Linked DNA regions of Oryzias latipes. The protein of the gene in region 2 interacts with the protein of the main gene of each other region in a pairwise test. Links are inferred from orthologs where the notes say so. Each region holds a gene or a part of one and is shown on either strand. Other genes may lie near its edges.

What was found.
Region 1: the proteins of potassium voltage-gated channel subfamily A member 3-like (region 2) and caveolin-1 come close enough for resonance energy transfer, tested with the Homo sapiens proteins (2 studies listed by BioGRID). The link is inferred for Oryzias latipes from reciprocal best matches to the Homo sapiens genes KCNA3 and CAV1.

Annotation. Positions count from the first base shown.
Region 1 is NC_019864.2:2,994,106-3,004,418, reverse strand, and holds the start of caveolin-1, read right to left. Parts: upstream 5,260-10,313; 5' UTR 5,032-5,259; coding exon 4,996-5,031; intron 4,297-4,995; coding exon 4,129-4,296; intron 1-4,128. UniProt on the Homo sapiens protein: May act as a scaffolding protein within caveolar membranes. Forms a stable heterooligomeric complex with CAV2 that targets to lipid rafts and drives caveolae formation. Mediates the recruitment of CAVIN proteins (CAVIN1/2/3/4) to the caveolae.
Region 2 is NC_019865.2:13,592,307-13,602,402, reverse strand, and holds potassium voltage-gated channel subfamily A member 3-like, read left to right. Parts: upstream 1-3,483; 5' UTR 3,484-3,912; coding exon 3,913-5,508; 3' UTR 5,509-6,669; intron 6,670-8,022; 3' UTR 8,023-8,822; downstream 8,823-10,096.

The DNA.
Region 1 (10,313 bases), on a different chromosome or scaffold from region 2:
AGACAGAGCTCTGAACCGTTTTTCTTCAATGATTTGTGATCTTCACTGGTGTCCATGGATTACATGAAATCTTTCCACCTTTATCCACCTTTGTCATGGTAGGGAGAACACGTCAATGGAAGGGGGGGGGGGGTCATCTAAGATAGCACAAGGGTTAATTGGTCTTTTTATTTGAATCTAAATCTGTTTTCTTCATTTATTGCTCCCAAAGTTCGAGTTCAAACTATCAGATTATTTTTCTATTTTCTCCTGTCCTTCCAAACTATGCTTTCAGTCAAAAATGATCTGAGACTTGATTTATTTAACTCATCATGTTTATGTGCAAACGTTAAAAAAGAAACGCCTTTTTTATACAACCTTTACAATTACAGACAGTCTGTAAAGTAAAGTCACCCTGTTGTCAATGAGGTGAAACATCTGCTTTGCATTTGACTTCCTCCTCCGGGAAATAAAGCCACAGCAGTAGGAATCACTTTACTACTTTGACTCCACAATTCATCCAGCGTATGATTTTTTTAGACTATCGTGTGTCTGAACTGTGGACTCAAACCGTCCCAGACTCAGGCAGACACTCTCCCACAGGGCCACTAAGCTGATTTCTATGAAAAGCTGTGTGAGATCTCCAGGCTCCTGTCAGAGTAAACAGCAGCGCTAAAGTGGCTGCTTGGATCAACAGCTGGCAAAACTCAGTGTGCAAACTAGTCTGACACCCTTTCAGTTTTTCCACAGATCCACCCAAAAGTGGCTCCAGGTTCCAGTCTTTGTCAGAAACCAAAGCCTTTTTCCACCTCAGAGCAGCCCCACCGGAGAGGCAGAGCGACACAGCTCCATGAGGGGCCGCTGTTGGTTGGTGATGCCGAGCAGCATAATGAGGAAATCCTCTAGGTTACCCGAGGACACCAACTTCCCGTGCAGTAAACACCATAATGGGTTTGTATGCAGTTCTGCAGATGAAGCTTTTTACAACTCTGTTAATAATGACTTCAAAAAAACAATCTTTTTCAATCTAGCTCCCACTTTGCCCAAAATGTTGGATCATTTGACTGAAACAGACTTCTAAAAGTCCCTGAAGCTTTTCCTGCAGACCTCGGATCCATTCTGGATTGCACTCAGCAGCACATTTATCCCATCAGCAGCTGATTCTCAGTATGAACCTCTGGTGACTATTGGGAGGCCTGATATGAAACAATGCAGTCTTGGGGTCGACATGTGACCAGTTGGCAAAGCAACCGTAATATTGAGTAAATAGGGCCAAGTGCTATTTCCAGAGTTTTATCTTCAGGCTGTCAGACATGCTTGACAAGACAGAAGAGTGCGGTGCATCAACAGACTTCTGCTGGAGTTTCGGGGGAAGAGAGTCTGCGGTTTGGTTACAGATACGAATTAACATGACCGGCATTGAAAACATTGGTCAATATGCAAAATTGGATTTTTTTTCATGTGTCCACTCCCCTTTCTTATCCCTTGTGCTATCTTAGATGACCCCCCCCCTTACATTGACGTGTTCTCCCTACCATGACAAAGGTGGATAAAGGTGGAAAGATTTCATGTAATCCATGGACACCAGTGAAGATCACAAATCATTGAAGAAAAAAGGTTCAGAGCACTGTCTAGTGGGTCTAGATGGTAAATGGTAAATGGCGTATACTTATATAGCGCTTTCTACCTTCTTACGAAGGCCCAAAGCGCTTTACAGTCACAGTCCCATTCACCCATGCACACACACATTCACACACATTCACCCACTGATGGCGGCTCCGCTGCCAAACACTGGCACCAACCTCCCACCAGAGGCAAGGTGGGGTTCAGTGTCTTGCCCAAGGACACTTCGACACATGGGCGTGCAAGGCGGGAATCGAACCTGCAATCTTATGTTCATGGGTCGACCGCCCTACTGTGCACCACGGCCGCCCCAGATGATGACCCAACTCCCAATATTAACGTGCCTAGGATAGCACAAGGGTTAAACTAAATGGCATCCATGTGAATGATTCTCCAAGGAAAGGGAAGTTTGAAGCTAAAAAGTGAAGTTTATACCAAACACTATGAATAAACGATGTTCATCCTCTTTAGTTTGTCCTCGGTACACCTGAGTCTGCTGCTGGAACTCAAGCTTCTCCACGCAGCTTCAAAAACGTCCTGTGCAGGCATTTGACCTCCACTCTCTGCACATAAAAAAGGCCCACAACATAAGGAAGGGAAAGAATAAAAAAGGCTCTGAGAGGGAATATCCATTGTTTCATGTGGCCAGATGATTAAGGCCAGCTGTGGTTGCAGCTGCAAGAGAGCCGTGGGTTTTCTCACATGTATGAGTCAAAGCATCCATGCACTCAGGATGTGTGCTGCTTGTCATATGTGTGTGGAGCTGTGTGACGGCGTGGCTGATTACACAGTGGATGACCGCAGAAGGGATTCCCTGTTCGGACTGGATTTAGCTCTTTCATACCAACCAGCTGCTTCCATCAACGGAAAAGACACGACTGCTCTACTTATAGACCCACTCTGATCTGTGCCATCTATCCAGCCGTGCAGTTTTGAGCCAAATATCAGCTCAAACCAGAAAAAACAAACCATTAATGGATCTGTTTACAAGTGGATGCATCAGAATGGAGCAAAGCGGGGAGCTTGTGGCACACCCAGCATATTTTCTATGCAACCAATGCGATCTTTTTCAGAGTTTTTTCTATGCTCCTGAATCACAACAATTTCAGTAAAGACACACTCAGAAATGGCGTTTTTGAGTTTCATTTTCTTTATATAAGTCCTCCATCATCAGAAAATTACCACAAGAACATGTTAAAAACAACAAAAACACCATTTTCAATGGAGTGGGTCTTAAACGTAGCACAGATTTAAGAATAGCTTAAACCTTTTCAGAAGTTATCATGGAAACTGGAATTCATTACACAAGTTTCTTGTTTACAGTCCATGACCATGTGATGAAAACTAACTTTGAGGGCGGTCAGTTGACTTGATCATAAAGCCTCAATCTGCCCTGACCGCAGGGAGAGTCTGACTCACCGTCACAACTGAGAGCAGGAGGATGCAGAGCGGTGAAGAAGAGACAGAAACAGGAAATCTTAAGCGCTTTGCCAAGTCTGTGCAGTGTAATAAGAAAGGATGTGTTGGTCATTATTGAATTCACTCACTTCTGCATTTAGTGCCCACTTTGTCTCATGCTAGTGACTGGGTGTTTCCAAGGGGCAACATTTGTACGTTACACTGCAGATAATGTTCCCGTGGAGTGAAATATCAGCTGAATCTGATAAAATCGAATCATTTTGTGGAGGAATTCCAGAAATAACATGAGAGGAAGAACTGTTTATGAGTTTGGCGGTTGGTTTAGCGATTCATACATGTCTTCAGATTTAAATCCTCTGGCTGGAATGCTGACAGGTGAAAGGGGGGAGATCAGAACACTGGGAGTGGTGAGGGATCCCCCTCTGACTAAGCAGCTACTTGGGTGTTTCCCTGTTTTAACAGCGCAGTTCAGGCATTTCAGAGGCCTGACCCATCCTTCTCATGCAGGGGGCTGTTTGACCCCGCTCTGATGTGAAAGCCCGCCTCAGCTGGAGTGGAGAGTGACAGACAGCTGACGCTCCCCTCCAGTATCATAGCGCCTCAGGTGGCTTCCAGCTCTCCCTCTCATAACCTCTGTGCGCATGTCCCTTATGGAAAGAATTCAGGGTTTCAAGGCAACCACTGTGGGAAACGTGAGTCCCAAAAACAGGAAATTCGTACTGTTTCCTTTGTTCCGATGGTCACGTTTTTAATCCGTGCGTGCAGATGGGCTGTGCAGCCTGCGCAAAGCACAACTCCATCTGCAAAGTTCCTTCCTAATAGGGGGAAAGAAAGTAAGAGGCCGCTCTGGAGAGGCAGCGCGCAGCAGCGTCTGAGCCCCGGGAGCGCACGATGACGCACAGGCGCAGAAAACACCAAACCAGATTTTAACACTTGGACAGTTTTTGATCACATTCTTGGACTTTAAAAGCAAAAAGTGGCCGAAATGTCTGTGACACAGGAGTCTCTCAACTGTTATTTTTTGTTGTCACAAAAAGTCTTGAAAGATTCTGCAGCTGCAACTTTAAAAGTAACTTGAAAAGTTCGAAATTAGCAGGTCTGACTCACCTTGACAACGTCGTCGTTTATTTGTTTAGGGTCCCGGTTGACTAGATCTATCTCTTTGGTGTGGACATCATCCATCGTCTTCTCGTTTACGCTGTCGTTGTCCATGTCTTTGTTGTTTGGCTTGTATATGTTCCCCTGCTTTCGGATGAAGGGCGACTGCAGAAACTCCTGTGGAGATCCGAGGGAGGCAAACAAGTGAGGAAGAGGAGGAGGTGGTGGAGGCGGAGTGGTGCGCAGCGCGCCGAGAGGGAGCGAGACTGCAGTGCAAGTCACCGGCCTGCCTCGAGAACAGGGATGGGTTTAAGCGCACTGAACACGCAGCACCACACCCCTGCACTCAGCCGCAAGGGGTCCTCACCACCCACACAGTGCTCCTGTCCTGACCTATCATACAGTTGGCTCCACATGGATGTGGACGCATGGCAACGCTTCAAAACATTTTCTGTGAAAAAGCAACAGTGTTTCATCTCACCATCCAAGCAGAATATCATCTACTAATCTTTTTTTTTTTTTTTTTTTTTTTTTACCAGAGGTGACATTTGTAAAATATGAATATTCATACATGCAAGTATATGTTGTAAAAGTGAATCCTCTCAAAGCTTTTATGATTTTGATCATTTGTGGAAAAATGAGGTTGAAAATCCAACTTTTAAACGCTTTTAAAGTCTCTTCCTGGATGAAGCAGAGCAATCTGACGCGTAAAGCTCAGGATTTGGTTGCGTTAATTGGCTTTTTCCTAAAGCGCAGCGCTTGCCACAGCAGGAAACTAAAAATACTAGAATAACTAGTTTAACAGAATAAAACAACAACAAGCAAATATCAAAAAGGGGAAATAATTTAATTTAAAAGGGGAGAGCCATACTGTACCTCGTCAGCGTCTCCGTCAGTGCGCTCCCCTGTCATTCTGTCCTCAGGAGCAAATGGGGTCCTCCGTCCAAACACAGATCACTCTGGGAAGCGAAGTGGGAGGCGTGAGCGCGGACTACCGCGCGCCTGATGATGAAATCAACCCTGAGCTGCCTTGGCGCCGAGTGAGACAAAACTGCGGAAAGTCTGAGCGCGCAGGGGAAAGCTCCGCTGCGTCTGCACAGCCACCTGCGTGTGCGCGCTCGGCACAACAGCCGCTTGGGCTGCAGAGAAGGACGTGATCTCACACCAAAGGGCTGCTGTGACACGCACGGAAAAAACCCTGCTTCGTTCAGGAATGAAGGCAGAATAAGACGGCACTTGTTCAGAGGGAGGAGGGTGAGATGGGATTACTGAATGTCGAAGTGGGAAAACCTGCCATACCTGAGTCCCAAACCGATCGATTGTTCCAAGAGAAAAGAAAACAAACAAGCAAACAGATCAAGAGGGGGAAAATGCAGAATTAGTAATAACATTTGAGAGCAGGTGTCAATGCTTTTCCTTTTCTTGTCAGCTTCAAGTAAAGCACCCGGCATCCCTGATAGTTTCCTCTCACCTCTTCTTGGCAGCAGCTCACTCATCAGTGGAACAGAAGCAATGTATGGATTTTATGGAATGGTCTTTTTCTTCTACGTGTTACCCTTTTTTGATAGGCTTCTTGTGCACAATAATTAGTCAGGGTGAAATGCGGAGCACTTATTTCATTACAAGTAGCTGTAGTGTACCTTTAAGATGATCTTTTCTGTTTCTAAAAAAATATGTTATCTTCTGTAAGCAGACTGATATCTGCATAATTATTGATACCTGTGGCAGAATTTGGCTTGGGGCCTTACTGCTGGGTTGTTCTGTGTGACTGGGATTCCTTTGCTCCACCCCTAAACTCTACTGTCAGTGCCCATGAGGGTAACAGCCGCAGCAGGTCTACTCCTTTAATGTGCTATCCTAGGTACGTTACCATTGGGATTTGGGTCATCTAGACCCACTAGACAGTGCTCTGAACCTTTTTTCTTCAATGATTTGTGATCTTCACTGGTGTCCATGGATTACATGAAATCTTTCCACCTTTATCCACCTTTGTCATGGTAGGGAGAACAGGTCAATGTAAGGGTGGGGTCATCTAAGATAGCACAAGGGTTAATTTGCCCTGATACCTGTAACAATGCTACAGTCTCACTATGGAGTGGAACTTAGAGACCAACTCCAATAAACAGTGTATTTTTTGGTGTTGTTTTGTGGCATTTTTCTGATGATGGAGGACAAATAAAACTAATATTGAAATTGCATCACTGAGTATTTCTTAATTCAAATAACTGTGAATAAGGGACACAGAATAAAAATTGCAGTTTAAAAAAAGAGCATATTTGTTACATAGAAAATACGTTGGGCGGGCCACAAACATGCTCTGCTCCATTCTGATGCATCCAATTGTACCCATTCCAACCCTTTGAGCCTGTAGACGTACGTCTTTGTTTTCCTGGTCTGAGCTGGAGTCTGGATCTAAACTGTATGAATGGATAGCTCCAGTATTGCTCACCATTTTTGTTGCATCGATGATGTTAGGTCGGGGGTGTCATGGATGGATGACGGGAAATTAGGCAGAAATGCGCCACACCAACAGTCCAGCCCACAGCTCAGAGTTGAATTTTTAATGAACTTATGCCGCTCTGTAGAAACTTATGGAAGTGATTCTGTAGAATAATTAAAAATAAAAGTCAGAACCAGAAATGCTTTTTCATTTTCAAAATGAAGCTGCATTTTTGACTCAAAATGAAAATAAAAAAGCAATCCACCAAAATGTTTTTTCTTTCCATCTTCAACACAACTTATTCTGTGTCAGAATAAAAACGAAAATGCAAAGAGGGGATTGCATTTTCATTTTAGCATCCACCCTGCAAACATTGTCGCATTATTCATTTCGAAAGAGCATTTCCAGAGGGGAGACGGGGCGATGACATCAGTGCTAAATCCGTGTGTCCGGCTGCTAACAGACACATGCTAGGAGCAGTGGAGCTCATTTAGAAGATAGTCTCCTGCAGCTTCACGCTGATTTTGCTGTTCAATGACAGCTGGAGTCCCATCAACAGCTATAGCAGATTTCACCATGCTAAACGTTTGCTGGTTGGACCAACACACACTCAGCTTCACGCTGAGTGTGTGTTGGTCCAACCATCTATCTTCTAAATGTGCTTTTATTGTTATGATTATTATTAAGGGCCTGCTCACTCAATTTTTTTAAATCCGTTCGGTCAGTGCTTTTTTCTTCGCTGGAGGACCCGAAAGACGAGTTAGCATTAGGCTAATATGTGCTTTAAACATTAGCCGTGGAGGTACTTAAAACTCCTTGCGGGCAATGAGCATATTGGATGTAAATATGTGGGAATTACATCATCCTTTATTTTTTTCTGGACACCACTGGAAACACATATTCATATGATGGTTTCTCAGATCATATCAGCACTTCTGCCTTCGGTGAACGGGAGATCGGATAGCGGGGTTTCGCGCTCCGCTATGCGAAGGCAGCTGCTGGTCCGAGGGGGGGGGTGCAGGGAAATGCTGCTACGTAGTCCTGAGAAGCTGTCTACAATCATCAGGAGTTCACAACCATCACACAGCCCTCTCCTCTGCCGCTAACACAAAGCTCCACTGCTCCTAGCATGTGTCTGTTAGCAGCCGCACACACAGAGAACACACTGACGTCATCGCCCCGCCTCCCCACTGGAAATGCTTATTCGAAATGAATATTGCGACACTATTCACAGGGTGGATGTTAAAATGAAAATGCAATCCCCTCTTTGCATTTTCATTTTAATTATGACACAGAATAAGCGGTTTTAAGTAGAAAATGAAAAAGTATTTTGAAGTATTAAATTTTCATTTTAATTTTGAGTCTTTTGTTTCAGTTACATTTTGAAAATGAAAAAGCATTTCTATTAAACCCATTTTAATTGTCAAATTAGACAATTCTAAATGAATTTTGCTACAACAGATAACTTTTTGAAAATGAAATGTCAAATACCACGTCATTTTAATTACAGGTAAGTGACAGAATAAGCGGTGTTAAAGAAGAAAATGAAAAAAACATTTTGGCGGATTGCGTTTTCATTTTAATTTTGAGTCAAAAAATGCAGCTTTATTTTGAAAATGAAAAAGTATTTCTGGTTTTGACTTTTATTTTTAATTATGCTACAGAATCGCTTCCATAGAAACTATGTCCTGGAAAACAACACAGGATTTTTGATTTTTGTCTAGAAACAGTGAAAATCATTGTAAAATATACATTACACACCGGTTTACTTCATGTCTGGACTTTAATAGGTGAAGTTATGAACACAGATCATAAAACCTGTTTCATAGAAAGATTAATCATACTTTATGTAGACCTCAGCAGTTCTGCGATAAACACAAGACATTCTACAATTTAAAAACAAATTCCTCGGGGGGGTACAACTGCAGAAAGGGAGTTGTGGCATGGTGACAAATTTGATCTGTGGGAACGTTCAGGCTCTCAGGATCTTCAGAGATATTAAAATGTCATTCAGAAACTGACAGGACGGGTTCTTCAACCATCTCACCTCATGTGCTCCTAGTGAAAGCTTTGACAATCCAAGAAACATCCAGAAAAACGTGGCGGAGCTCCTCTTTTAAAGGGCCTTTTTTATTTTGACATGTTTTCAGAATCCTTCCGGATGATAGTAAAAAACGATAATTTCTGTAAGTAAAGTTAAATTCCCATTGGCTGTCACGGACCTAGGGATGTAAAATTTGTTCTCCCATCCTTTCGAGGGGGGTGAGCTGCAGATACAACCACATTCAGGAAACATTTGTTGGTAACCCATTCCAACCCTTTGAGCCTAAGTGCAAAACACAGAGGCATTGGGACCAATTTTTAGAGTCCTTGGTATAACTTGGTCTGGATTTGAACCCATGACCTTCCAGTCTCAGGATGGACACTGTACCACAAAGCCATTGAACTCTATAAAAGTTAGCAGAGCACAGCAGCTGATTGCATTAATATGCAAGAATTTATTGGTAAAGAGAAATGGTGTGTTAACCTCTAGTAAAAGCAGTTAGGAACTGAAACCAGCAGTAAGCTGAAAGTGGCTCTCACCCTGCAATTTACAGGGAACATGAGGTCTTTAGCTGGGAATGTGGTTTGGCTTTGTCCTCCTGAAAGGTCTTCACTGAAATGTTTGAATGTAGGTGACGGCACACACCCTTCAGAGACCTGCACGATGCTCATGCAGCATTTACCTACAGAGTGTGTCAAATTCAACTCCTTTGATTTTTCTAAAAGACGTCAAAGGCGAGCTAAGTGTTCGCTCTGTGTCAGATACAACTACCATTTATTTATAGGCATACGACTAGACTAAACTATGAAGATATTTTTAATTCACACAATAGTACTTAAACAGAGAATGTGGTTTGTTGTAATTATAGCAACAAGAGCTGAAGCTGCTGGAGGAGGTTTGATGTTGTTCCATCAGGTGGGGGTTTCCTTTCCCCCCGCGTTTGCTCCACATGAGGATTTCACAGAAAATCTTATGATAAGAATCACTTATATAGACCATTATTATAATATGGTTAGGTCCAAATGAGTCTGCATGGCGGGATAGTGGTCAGCACTCCTACCTCACAGCAAGAAAGCCCTGGTTCAGATTCCAGCTGGCACCTCTTCTGTGTGGGGTTTGCATGTTTTCCACAGTCCAAAAACACGCTTCATGACTCTAAATTGCCCCAAGATGTGAGTATGAGGGATTCTGTGGCCCTGCAACAGACTGGAAACATGCTCAGGGTGTACTTCACCCCAACATAGGCTGGGATAGGCTCCAGCGACCCCATGATCCTAAAAGGGACTCACCAGGTTCTAAAATGGATGGATGGGTTCAGTCAAACTGGCCTTATTGTCTGACCTCAATTGGATCACAAGGAATTAGAACATGTTGGATTGCTGTAGCTCTCAGTGGTTCATCGTCATTAGATGTTTCTTGTTTTTTCTGTACAGTACTGCCCTGAAAGGGTCTTTGTTATGCTTTCTAAATAAATTGGATACTCTTTGAAGGTAACCATAGCAACAGTTGTCCCAGAAAATATAATGAATGTACAACATCTCTGATTTGTCTTGCATGTGTTTGAACTGCAGATGACAAAAGACTTCCTCAAAGTTTCCTGAAAAGAGCAGATTGCTTTGTTACCTGCACAGCTTTGTTGGCAGACTGCATCTAGTTTCCACCTGGAAACAGTGGGGAAACTGAGCAACTGTGCTTCAGAAATGTTGTTTA
Region 2 (10,096 bases):
TTTACAACATGTATTCAAATGTTGTAAACAACCTCCATCCATGCAGCCATTTCCAGAAATCCCTTTTGGGGCCATGGAGCTGCAAGAGTCAACCCAGCTATTATTGAGCAAAGGTGGGGCACACCCGGAACAGGTCCCCAGTTCATTTCAAGGCCACACCTGCATGCTCACTTAGAGGCAATTTAGAGCAATCAACCTGTGAAGCCTGTTTTTGGATTGTGGGAGAAAGTGGGAGTGACCAGAGAAACCTGAAAACAACCTTTAAATCATAACTGATTTTTCAAACCAGACCTAGAGATATTCAAACAGATGAAAGCATGTGCCAAGTCTTGTTTGACTGGAAAAAAGAAAGTAAAATTTACATGTGTTGCCATGAATCTCAGCGCTAAAACAGTCCCTGGAGCTGATATGAACGTTGGATTAAAAACCAGATGAAAGATCTCAGAACACTGATGCATGCAATGAATCCCAAAACTCTTACAAAAATAGGAGGCCAGATGCCCAACGCGCTAAGAAATCTGAAACGTATAAGACATATAATCATCCATTCATTTTACCAGTACAACATTAATGGGGACACTTTTTCGAGGCAGTTTATATTTAAATCAAAGTCCTGCTCGAAAAACAAACTGCTATTTTCAATTTTTGTATTAATTTTAATTTTGGCTGTAAATGTCTTCACAACAGTAGAAATGTTGTGCAATATTTCAAATTATTTTCAAAGTCTTGTCAAAACGTGACATTCAGCTGATCTTTTTTTTCCTGGAAAGAAAACAATGGTCACATCCAGAGCTCAACAATTGAAACAAGATCTTATTACAACACTGTCCTCTAAGGCTGGAGTACATGAACCAAAGCTTGACGTTTACTTTGCTTGGCTGCATTGTAAAAACTGAAAGTTACCTATTTTAAATAATTTACACCTATTCCACAGGATGCTGGCAACTCTTTTGCTTTCACGGCTGTTATATCTAGCTAGAAACAGATTGCAATTCAGTGCAAAATAAAGTCTTCATGAATGCTTGGTTGAAATTATTTTCCTTATCCTGTGTATGAGGCAGTGGAAGGGGGAGAAGGAGTCCTTGTTTTCAATAGGCGATGGAGAAATAAAATACCAATATGAACAAAGTCATAGAATACCATGTTAAAAAAAGGAAGGTGCATTGTTAATGATGTTTATGATTGATCTTGGTAACATAATTTACAATACATCCACAAATGTTCCAAAGATTTTTGATTTAGCATTTCTGAATGTTTTCTTTCACTCTCTCTCATGCCACTTAACTATTCGGGGGCAAAGCAGGGTTGTGTGAACAGGGACATGCTAACTTGTACACTAACAAAACCAAGAACTGAACCTCCAACCTCGTGCTCAAGCTGAAAAATCATTTAGCAAAAGCATGACCAAAAAGAAAACAAATGGCTGCAATTATTCCATATAGAGAGAGAAAACCTGAATTTCATCTATGAAGGCAACTCAGGAAATTTGCCTGGTGCATCATGGGATGCCTAAGAGAAGTTTAAACTTGTAGTGCTGAAACTAAAGGTCAGTTGAGAAAAAGCCTAGCCTGTCTGAATAAAATAAAAATATAAAAAAGATAGATTTATTAGAAACCAAATACAAACTCAGCTTCAGATATTTTGGATTCAGAGAAACTGATATGGATATGCATTTCATGTAGCGTGTCAAATGTCTCACTGAGGCTCAGGCGTGGCAGCATATGTTTATGAGCGAACATTGGCTGGTGCTGACTGCCTGCCTTCACAGCTCCACCTGTGTGCCAGTACAAAGGGCGTGACCACAGGCTCAGGCACGCGCTCTCCCTGTGGGAAGTGGTTGAAAGTAGAAAGCTGCAGGAGTCAAGCCAACATTTTCTTTTACAGAATTTGCTGCAATATTTTCCTGGATTTTAAAGAAATCTGTTTAATGTCACTTTGAGATGAACTTTAAAGTATATCCTCTTTGCAAACAAAATATAATGTTTGTCTTTATTTTCAGACCATATGTGGTGGCAGGCTGAAATGTCAGGCTGTATGTTGCCACAGACCGCCCATTTAACAAGCCCAAGGAGCACTCACCCAATGCTCATTTAATTTAATCTTGAGGAAGCAAATGTCCACATACAGTAAATAGTGTAATTCCTCACAATAATCTCTCTTTCGTCATTTCCTCCGGTCTGTGCTTTGTTCCTTCCACTTGTTGATGGAGTGTGTGACTGTCTGTATGCAGATAAAAATACTGTATTTGCAAGGTAAGCTTCTTCTACTAATAGGGACAGACAAAATGTGCTCATTTAAAGTCTTTAATGTACTTCTAATTTTATGTTGCAACAGCAGATTTGGTTCTTTTATTATAACCTAAATACTTTTATTCTTTTACCTCAGTTTAGACCAAGATAATGTCCAGGAATTCAACTTTTAGGCTTCAAAACAAATTATTATATCATGTCTTATCTTGTCTTTTTTGAGTCCTTATTGTTTCAGAAAACAACCTTTAAACAAACTTTATTTGCTTTACTCCAATTTCAAAAACTGCTTGTCCAGATTTATCTTTTTGTTCTTTGTTGTCAAGATTTAGATTATTTTGTTGTTGTTGGCAGTTTTCAGTTCTTATGAGCAAATAAGCAGACAAAAAATAAATGTATTTTTTCATTTGTCACTTTCTGCATCAATATTCCTTTGTGCTGTTGCCCAAAAAGCATCGCATACTGGATGTGCACTTTGTAAAGCTAACAAAACAAAACCAAATGTCGGTGAAATATTAAATAGAATATTGTATGTCTGCATTAAACATGGGTTTATATTTATACTTATTTATTTTTAAATGTTGTTTGTGCTCTTCTTTTTATTAAAACTATGAGCAACATAATTCAAGTCTGCAAGAATTACTTTCTCTTTCCACATTAAACTACACGATTAGCCTTTCCATGAAAGTAAGGGGTTTTGTCAGTCACTACATGTCCTAATTTTGCTTCAAATTAGTTTTTTAGGTAAAACAAAAATACAGAAATATCATAATCCATATCACACTGCACATGATCAAGCTAAGAGAAAACTAAAGGAAAATGCAATGAAATTAAAGGAAATTGCTGTGATCAGAAACCAGGAGACAGTTGATGCTCCGTTGAAGCACTGCTGACATATATCTTTTCTGCCTTAAAATGTGTAATAAGGTTTTGGGTTGTGTAGTATCGCGCGTCTGCCTGCAGATAGGTAATTTCTCTCGTGTCTTTTACGATGATGAATGACTTCATTTCGTTGTGATGAGTGCGTTCCTTTGTCTCCCCACGACCTGCCTGATCTCTGAGCTTATTAACTGTCTGTTGCTTTGGGTTTCAGCTCAGATGCTTCCTTTTTGTATTAAAGAAATGATGAAGCGGCATCATGCGCGTCGTGATGAATGGTGAATCGTGCGTATTTACGCGCGCGCCGGCGTGTATATGTGTGCAGGTCTAGACTTATTAGTGAAATACGCTCTCAGCGTGGAATGACCTTGTTGAAAAAGGAGACTTTTTTGACTGTGCCTGCAGCGCGTGACTGCGTGCGTGCGTTTGTTTACACGCTTCCTGTGTGTGCGTGTCTTTTCTGCGTGTGTCACCTAAACGTGGGGAGCGACAGAGGGGGGCGGGCACGCCCAAAAGATGGTGTTGAATCACGCCCGTCTGTTGCTTTTTCTGTGTATCGGTGCGCCCCACGATTGGCGGACAACAGTGGAGGTAGCCAGCACTGGTGCGCCGTGGGCGTGTGGAACGTCTGTTTATAAACCTAGATCTTTTATCAGTGGGCGGGAACAGCAACAGCATTGAGGGAAAGTGGGGCGCTTGAAAAAGAGAAACGTAAAAAGGAGACGAGGCTGTGGCGGCGGCTGAGGTTGACAGGGGCTCGCGGAGGGGGCGCGGCGGCAGCCCCTGTATGCGTCTTCCACCGCGCATGGACGACCACCTCAGCCTCCTGCAATCACCCCCGCCGAGCGTCACCAAAACCAGGGGAGACAACTTGGTGAACCACGGATACACCGAGACAGAGACCGACGTGATGACGGTCGTGGCATGTGACAACATGCTGGAAGAGTCGGCGGCTCTCCCGGGCCACCACTCTCTGGACAGATACGAACCGGATCACGAATGCTGCGAGAGGGTGGTCATCAACATCTCAGGGTTACGTTTCGAGACGCAGCTCAAGACTCTGTCACAGTTCCCAGAGACGCTGCTGGGTGACCCAAAGAAAAGGATGAGGTACTTTGACCCTCTCAGGAACGAATACTTCTTCGACAGGAACCGACCCAGCTTTGATGCCATTCTGTATTACTACCAATCCGGCGGGCGGATCCGGAGACCAGTTAATGTGCCCATTGACATTTTTTCTGAGGAGATACGCTTCTATGAGTTGGGTGAGGAGGCGATGGAGAAGTTCAGGGAGGATGAGGGCTTCATAAAAGAGGAGGAGCGGCCACTACCAGAGAATGAATTTCAGCGGCAGGTGTGGCTGCTGTTTGAATACCCGGAGAGCTCGGGTCCTGCCCGGGGGGTCGCAATAGTGTCTGTTTTGGTCATTCTCATCTCCATTGTCATCTTCTGCTTAGAGACACTGCCGGAGTTCAGGGACGAGAACAATGATGTGATCACTCTAGCGCCGGTGATAAATGGCACAGTACCATATTTCATCAGCCCCTTCTCTGATCCCTTCTTTGTCGTGGAGACGCTGTGCATCATCTGGTTTTCCTTTGAGCTCCTGGTGCGCTTTTTTGCTTGTCCGAGCAAAGCCACGTTTTCCAAAAACATTATGAACATCATTGACATTGTGGCCATCGTCCCGTATTTCATCACCCTGGGCACAGAGTTAGCAGAGAGGCAAGGGAACGGACAACAGGCCATGTCTTTGGCAATTCTGCGCGTAATTAGGCTTGTTCGGGTGTTTCGCATCTTCAAACTTTCGCGTCACTCCAAGGGGCTTCAAATTCTGGGGCAGACCCTGAAGGCCAGCATGCGCGAACTGGGCCTGCTCATCTTTTTCTTGTTCATAGGGGTCATTCTCTTTTCCAGCGCTGTTTACTTTGCCGAGGCGGACGACCCGTCCTCGGGTTTTAGCAGCATCCCGGACGCGTTCTGGTGGGCTGTTGTTACGATGACCACCGTGGGATATGGGGATATGCACCCCGTGACAATCGGTGGAAAGATTGTGGGATCTTTGTGCGCAATCGCGGGCGTGCTGACCATTGCCCTCCCAGTCCCTGTCATCGTCTCCAATTTTAACTACTTCTACCACAGAGAAACAGAGGGCGAGGAGCAAGCGCAATACCTGCACGTGGGCAGCTGTCAACCTCTGGCAGACACAGAGGAGCTGAGGAAGACGCGCTCCTCCTCCTCCCTCAGCAAGAGCGAGTACATGGTGATAGAGGAGCACGGGATAAACAGCGCGTTTAAGCAGCAGCCGAATTTTCCCACTACAACTCAAAACAACTCACAGAATTGCGTAAACATAAGCAAAAAGATTTTCACCGACGTGTAGCGTTTCAGTTCTGACCAACAGGTGAGGCATCAACATACAGCTGGCTCTGGCGGTGCACACCAGCGTGTGGAAGCACAGATGGAAGATACGAGGAATGGAATAGTATTGCTGCTTAGTTTGTGCTCTGTTTAAAGAATCCGGATAGTTCACTTTAGTGATATAAATTCATCCCTTAAGGTTCCGTTTGCGCTTGCGTAAAGACAGAGATAGAATGAGTTCTTCTCTGAGGGGCTGATCCTGTTGTGCGTTTCCAGTAGCAAGTGTATAATCACAACAGGTAGAAATAGAAGCTTTTTTACTGTGAAGGGTGCGTAAAACTGCGTGTTCCTTGAAGGACACTTACACTGTTTCATGCGTTATGCGTCGTGATCAGTCATGCTTAGACAATGTATAATAACCAGTCATTTAAATATGTGTCTGTGTTCAAACACACGTATGTCTGAAAAAAAAAACGGTTCGAAGATATAAAATGTCAACCAGACCGTTCCGTGTTATGCCTTCATTATGCGTCCTTGAAAAATAACTCCAAATATTTCCTCTGCGTAGGTTATATTGTTAGGCTAACCAGTGCGTAAACGGCGCTTTGTAAACACCGGATCCAGCCAATTGTCAGCATCTCCTTATCTGTGCAAGAAACACGTGAGCGCAGAAGCACAAAGCTGCCTCCGTACGCACACAAACAATGATCAAAGATGGAGAGTGATTCTCTTTGGATGCCTCAAATATAGCTCTCTGTGATGCAGTCACTATGGTGACGGTCGTTTCCTGGGTAACCCCAGTCACCGTTGCCATGGCACCCTTGTTTCCACAGTAACCTCCCAGATGGCTTGGAATTTATACAGACGATTCTCATGTGAATGGCGTGACTTCACTCTCTAATGAGGCAGTTTTATCACCAAGCTGCTCTGCGTAAAGCACCAATCCAGATGTACGGAGCAACCAGCCTCTTTGACACCAACACAAAACGAAATTCTACAGAGGAGATTTGTTTACACCCCCCCCCCCCCCCCAATCACCCCCTCTAAACAAATCTATTTCAAGCTGGGGAGCTGCTGTGCCTGAAAACATGAAAGGAGGAGCGGCGCGTGAAAATATGAATGAAGTGGGAGCACTACCGCAAACGCACAGCAAAGGGTGCTGTTCCCTTACTGAAAAAAATAGGTAAGACGCACATTTATGCTGAGCACAAGTGCACTGTTCTCTGAAACAATAAGACCTCATATGGAATTTCAAAATAGGGTTATGTGTCATCAGAAAGGCTGCTACACAAAGAGCCCTCACACTGTCATGGCAAAAAATATAAATACTTTCTTTTTCAAAGTAAAAAAAAAAGTAGTATTTGAGTCCCCACTTGCATGTTTACATGTGAAAAATTATTTTATGATAAAACTCCTGCTCTCTGGTAAATGACGACATGCTCTTGCTGCACATTCAGGTCGCATTTAACCTTCAGCTGACTTTGTCGATGGACTAAAATAGGAGCAGCAAAGGCATGCCACGTTAGCTCGTCTCAACACTGCCTCCTAGTGTCTATTTTCTTGTTACAGGCGTCTCACACATTGATGTCCTCCGTTTTCCTCAGCCACACACAGTGATTCAATCACCTTGAGACAGCACATATGAGTGTGGAATGAAAACACTGATAAAGCTTTGTTCATGTTTTATGTGTAAATATTTGCATAAGCTAAAAGCACATTAATATTTAAAAAATGTTAAAACAGTAAATGCCAGTTATGGCATTTGGTGGGGCCGGCTCTGGCAGACCCGTGACCCCGAAAGGGACAAACGGAAGAAGATGAAAACAGTAAATGGCCTTCCTGATTTATAGTCTTTGACAGTGCTCTACTCTATTTATGTGGATGATTCTTCTTTTCTAATAGTTACGGACTTAACAGACAGGACAGCACAATTTTCTTCCTTTTTCTGCAGAATCCATTTCTGCTTTGAATTGGAATGTGTTTTCCTAAAAGTGCCTCTGAGTGTCTGTCAGCTCCAAAATAATGACAAAGTTGGCAGTCAGTGTTGATTGATGTTGGACAATTTCACTGGAATATTGTGATTTGAAGAGCCCACAGGATGACTTCCCAATTATTCAGTTCCATCCCAGCTGATCCCAGACATCAGCCTCTTGTTTTGAAGCTAAAGCCTTTTTTTGTTTGTTTTTGGGCAGATAAACTTTCTTTTTGATTTTTTGTATCACTCCAGATGAATTGTTTATGGTAATAAAAATTATATCTATTTAGTTCAACAGTAAACATTGTTGCTCAAGGCTGCAGGAAGTGAATACAATAATCCATTTTATTTGGAAAAATAATAGAAAAGAAAGAAACAAATCAAGTTCAATAAATTCAGAGGTGTCTGTGTGGGGGGGCTTTTTTCTTTTTTTTGGGGTCAAAAATGTGTCCTTTTCCACAACGATCTGAAAACTGTATTTATGGTCTCTCATATCCTATTTATTGAAGTTGTGTTTCTTCTCATAGGGTGACAACTGTAGAAACCACTAACCTGCAGTAGCTTTTCTTTCCCTACAGGTGTGCAGTGATTCTGGTCTTCCGGATGGGATAGATGGGTCACATTTGGGATCTGAGACAGAAATCCTTCTGGATCGGTTCTTCTTTCCCTGTACTCAACTGATGCCTAAATCAAGACTTAAAAAGTGGTGCCTATATCTCCTTCTCTAGCGGGACTACCAATCAATCCAAAAATGCAAGAAAATGAGGTCACAATAGGCTTCTGACATTTTTTCCACACACCTTTGTAGCCGCAGCTTCTATTGTTAAGCTGACACAATCTGAATGGGGGAGTCACGGGATCAAAAGTGACTTAAAAACTCGTGCTTAAGCTGTTACTGGCTTTCTAGGAAACAGCAAGTGCTTTCTCACATCACAGGGACTTTGACAATGATTTCTAGAATCTGTCTTCATCATATTGTCTTCATCGTCATCAAAAAGTCAGCAAGAGGAAAAACCTATGTGCTCTGTGATTAACTGATATGAAACTGTGATTCAAAACAAAGACTGTTAGCCACATGCCTTTGTTAGTTCTTTGTGCTCCGTGTTGTTGATATGTAAAACGCACACATAGCCACGTGTGCTAGTTGCTGCTATTCCCTTGACTTATACTTTAAGAACAATACAAAGGCACGTGCAAACAGGCATATTTATACACACACATTTGTGAATTTCTCTCTTCTGTTCCAGACTGCACTCTTGATTTTTGGAACGGGGCAGATTGTTGTCAGGGTAAGGCTGTGTATGCCAGTATTTGTTCCGTGTTATTACATGCCATCTTAAACATGACCCATGTGAAGAGATTGTGATGCGTCTTCATTTGACAGTAGCTGCAGTCTATTACTCAATTACTGAAAGAACAATATACTCATTTAGTGTCAGCCTAACTAGCTTCTCTCAGTTTTCAACAGTGAGTAGTATCTACACTTCTTCAAATATGACTAAATAGAGTTTTTTTATTAATAATTATAAAGTTTTTCTAAATTTCAACTCCAATCATCTTTTGATGTATTGTTAAAGCGTTCCCATTGGCCTGTTTATGCCGTTTTTGGGCAAAATGAAAAAGCCTGTGTTGTCTTCTCTGACTAGTTTCTGCAGAGCGGTAGCAGTTCATTCTGAATTCACCTCTGGGTTGTGGATGGGACTGTTGGCATGGATCGAGCCCACCCCCCATTCCCTCCATCCATCTCTTTGCGTACTCTCCTGCTGCAGCCTCTCACAACCTCAACCTAACAAAACAGGTGCAACAAAAAAGACGAGCAATATTGGAGGTATCCAGTCAGCTCGGACAAGGAAAACAAAGGCTTTCATGGATCTAGTCGTCTACAAGTGGATGCATCTGAATGGAGCAGAGCAGGGAGCTTGTGGTTTCCCGTAGAAACTTGTACGTCACACTTATACGTTTTTCCAACAGTATTTTTTTGTCTGCTCCTGATTCACAAAGATTTAAAGAAATGCTCAGAAATGCAATTTTAAGATTGGTTTTCTTTATAAATGTTGTCCACCCTCAGAAAAATGAAAATCTTATAAACACCAAAAACACAATTTTTATTGGAATGGGTCTTTTTATGTTTTTTGTACAATATAAGACATTTAAATTCAAAGCTAGCATTTACAGAGAAGAACACAATTAGACAACATTAGATAAAAAACTTGTCTTTGTTTGAAAATGAGTATTTAATTCCTAATCACTCTCATATCCTCAAATTCATTAGACAGATTTTTTTAAAGCAAAAACATTGTTTATTGCAAGAAAGGCAACAGTTTAGTCATCATCATGAGCCTCACAGGGAGAGTCTTTTAATGAAAGCTTGACACACAGATCTACAGAGAAGCACATTAACCCGACAATCTCTTTGTTAGACGGATTGCAATCCGCTTCTTTTTTAAATATTGCAGTATGTACAAACATTAAGGGAAGTAAAAAGGCAAAATGAAAGACACTTATCTTTTTGACAGATAAGAAAACCACAACCGCTGTAGACAGATGCTTACCGTAAAAAAGACATGGTGATTTCCCTTTGCCAGGTCTGTGATCTGCACTGAATGGAAGCCCAGTGGAAAAGTTCACATATTCC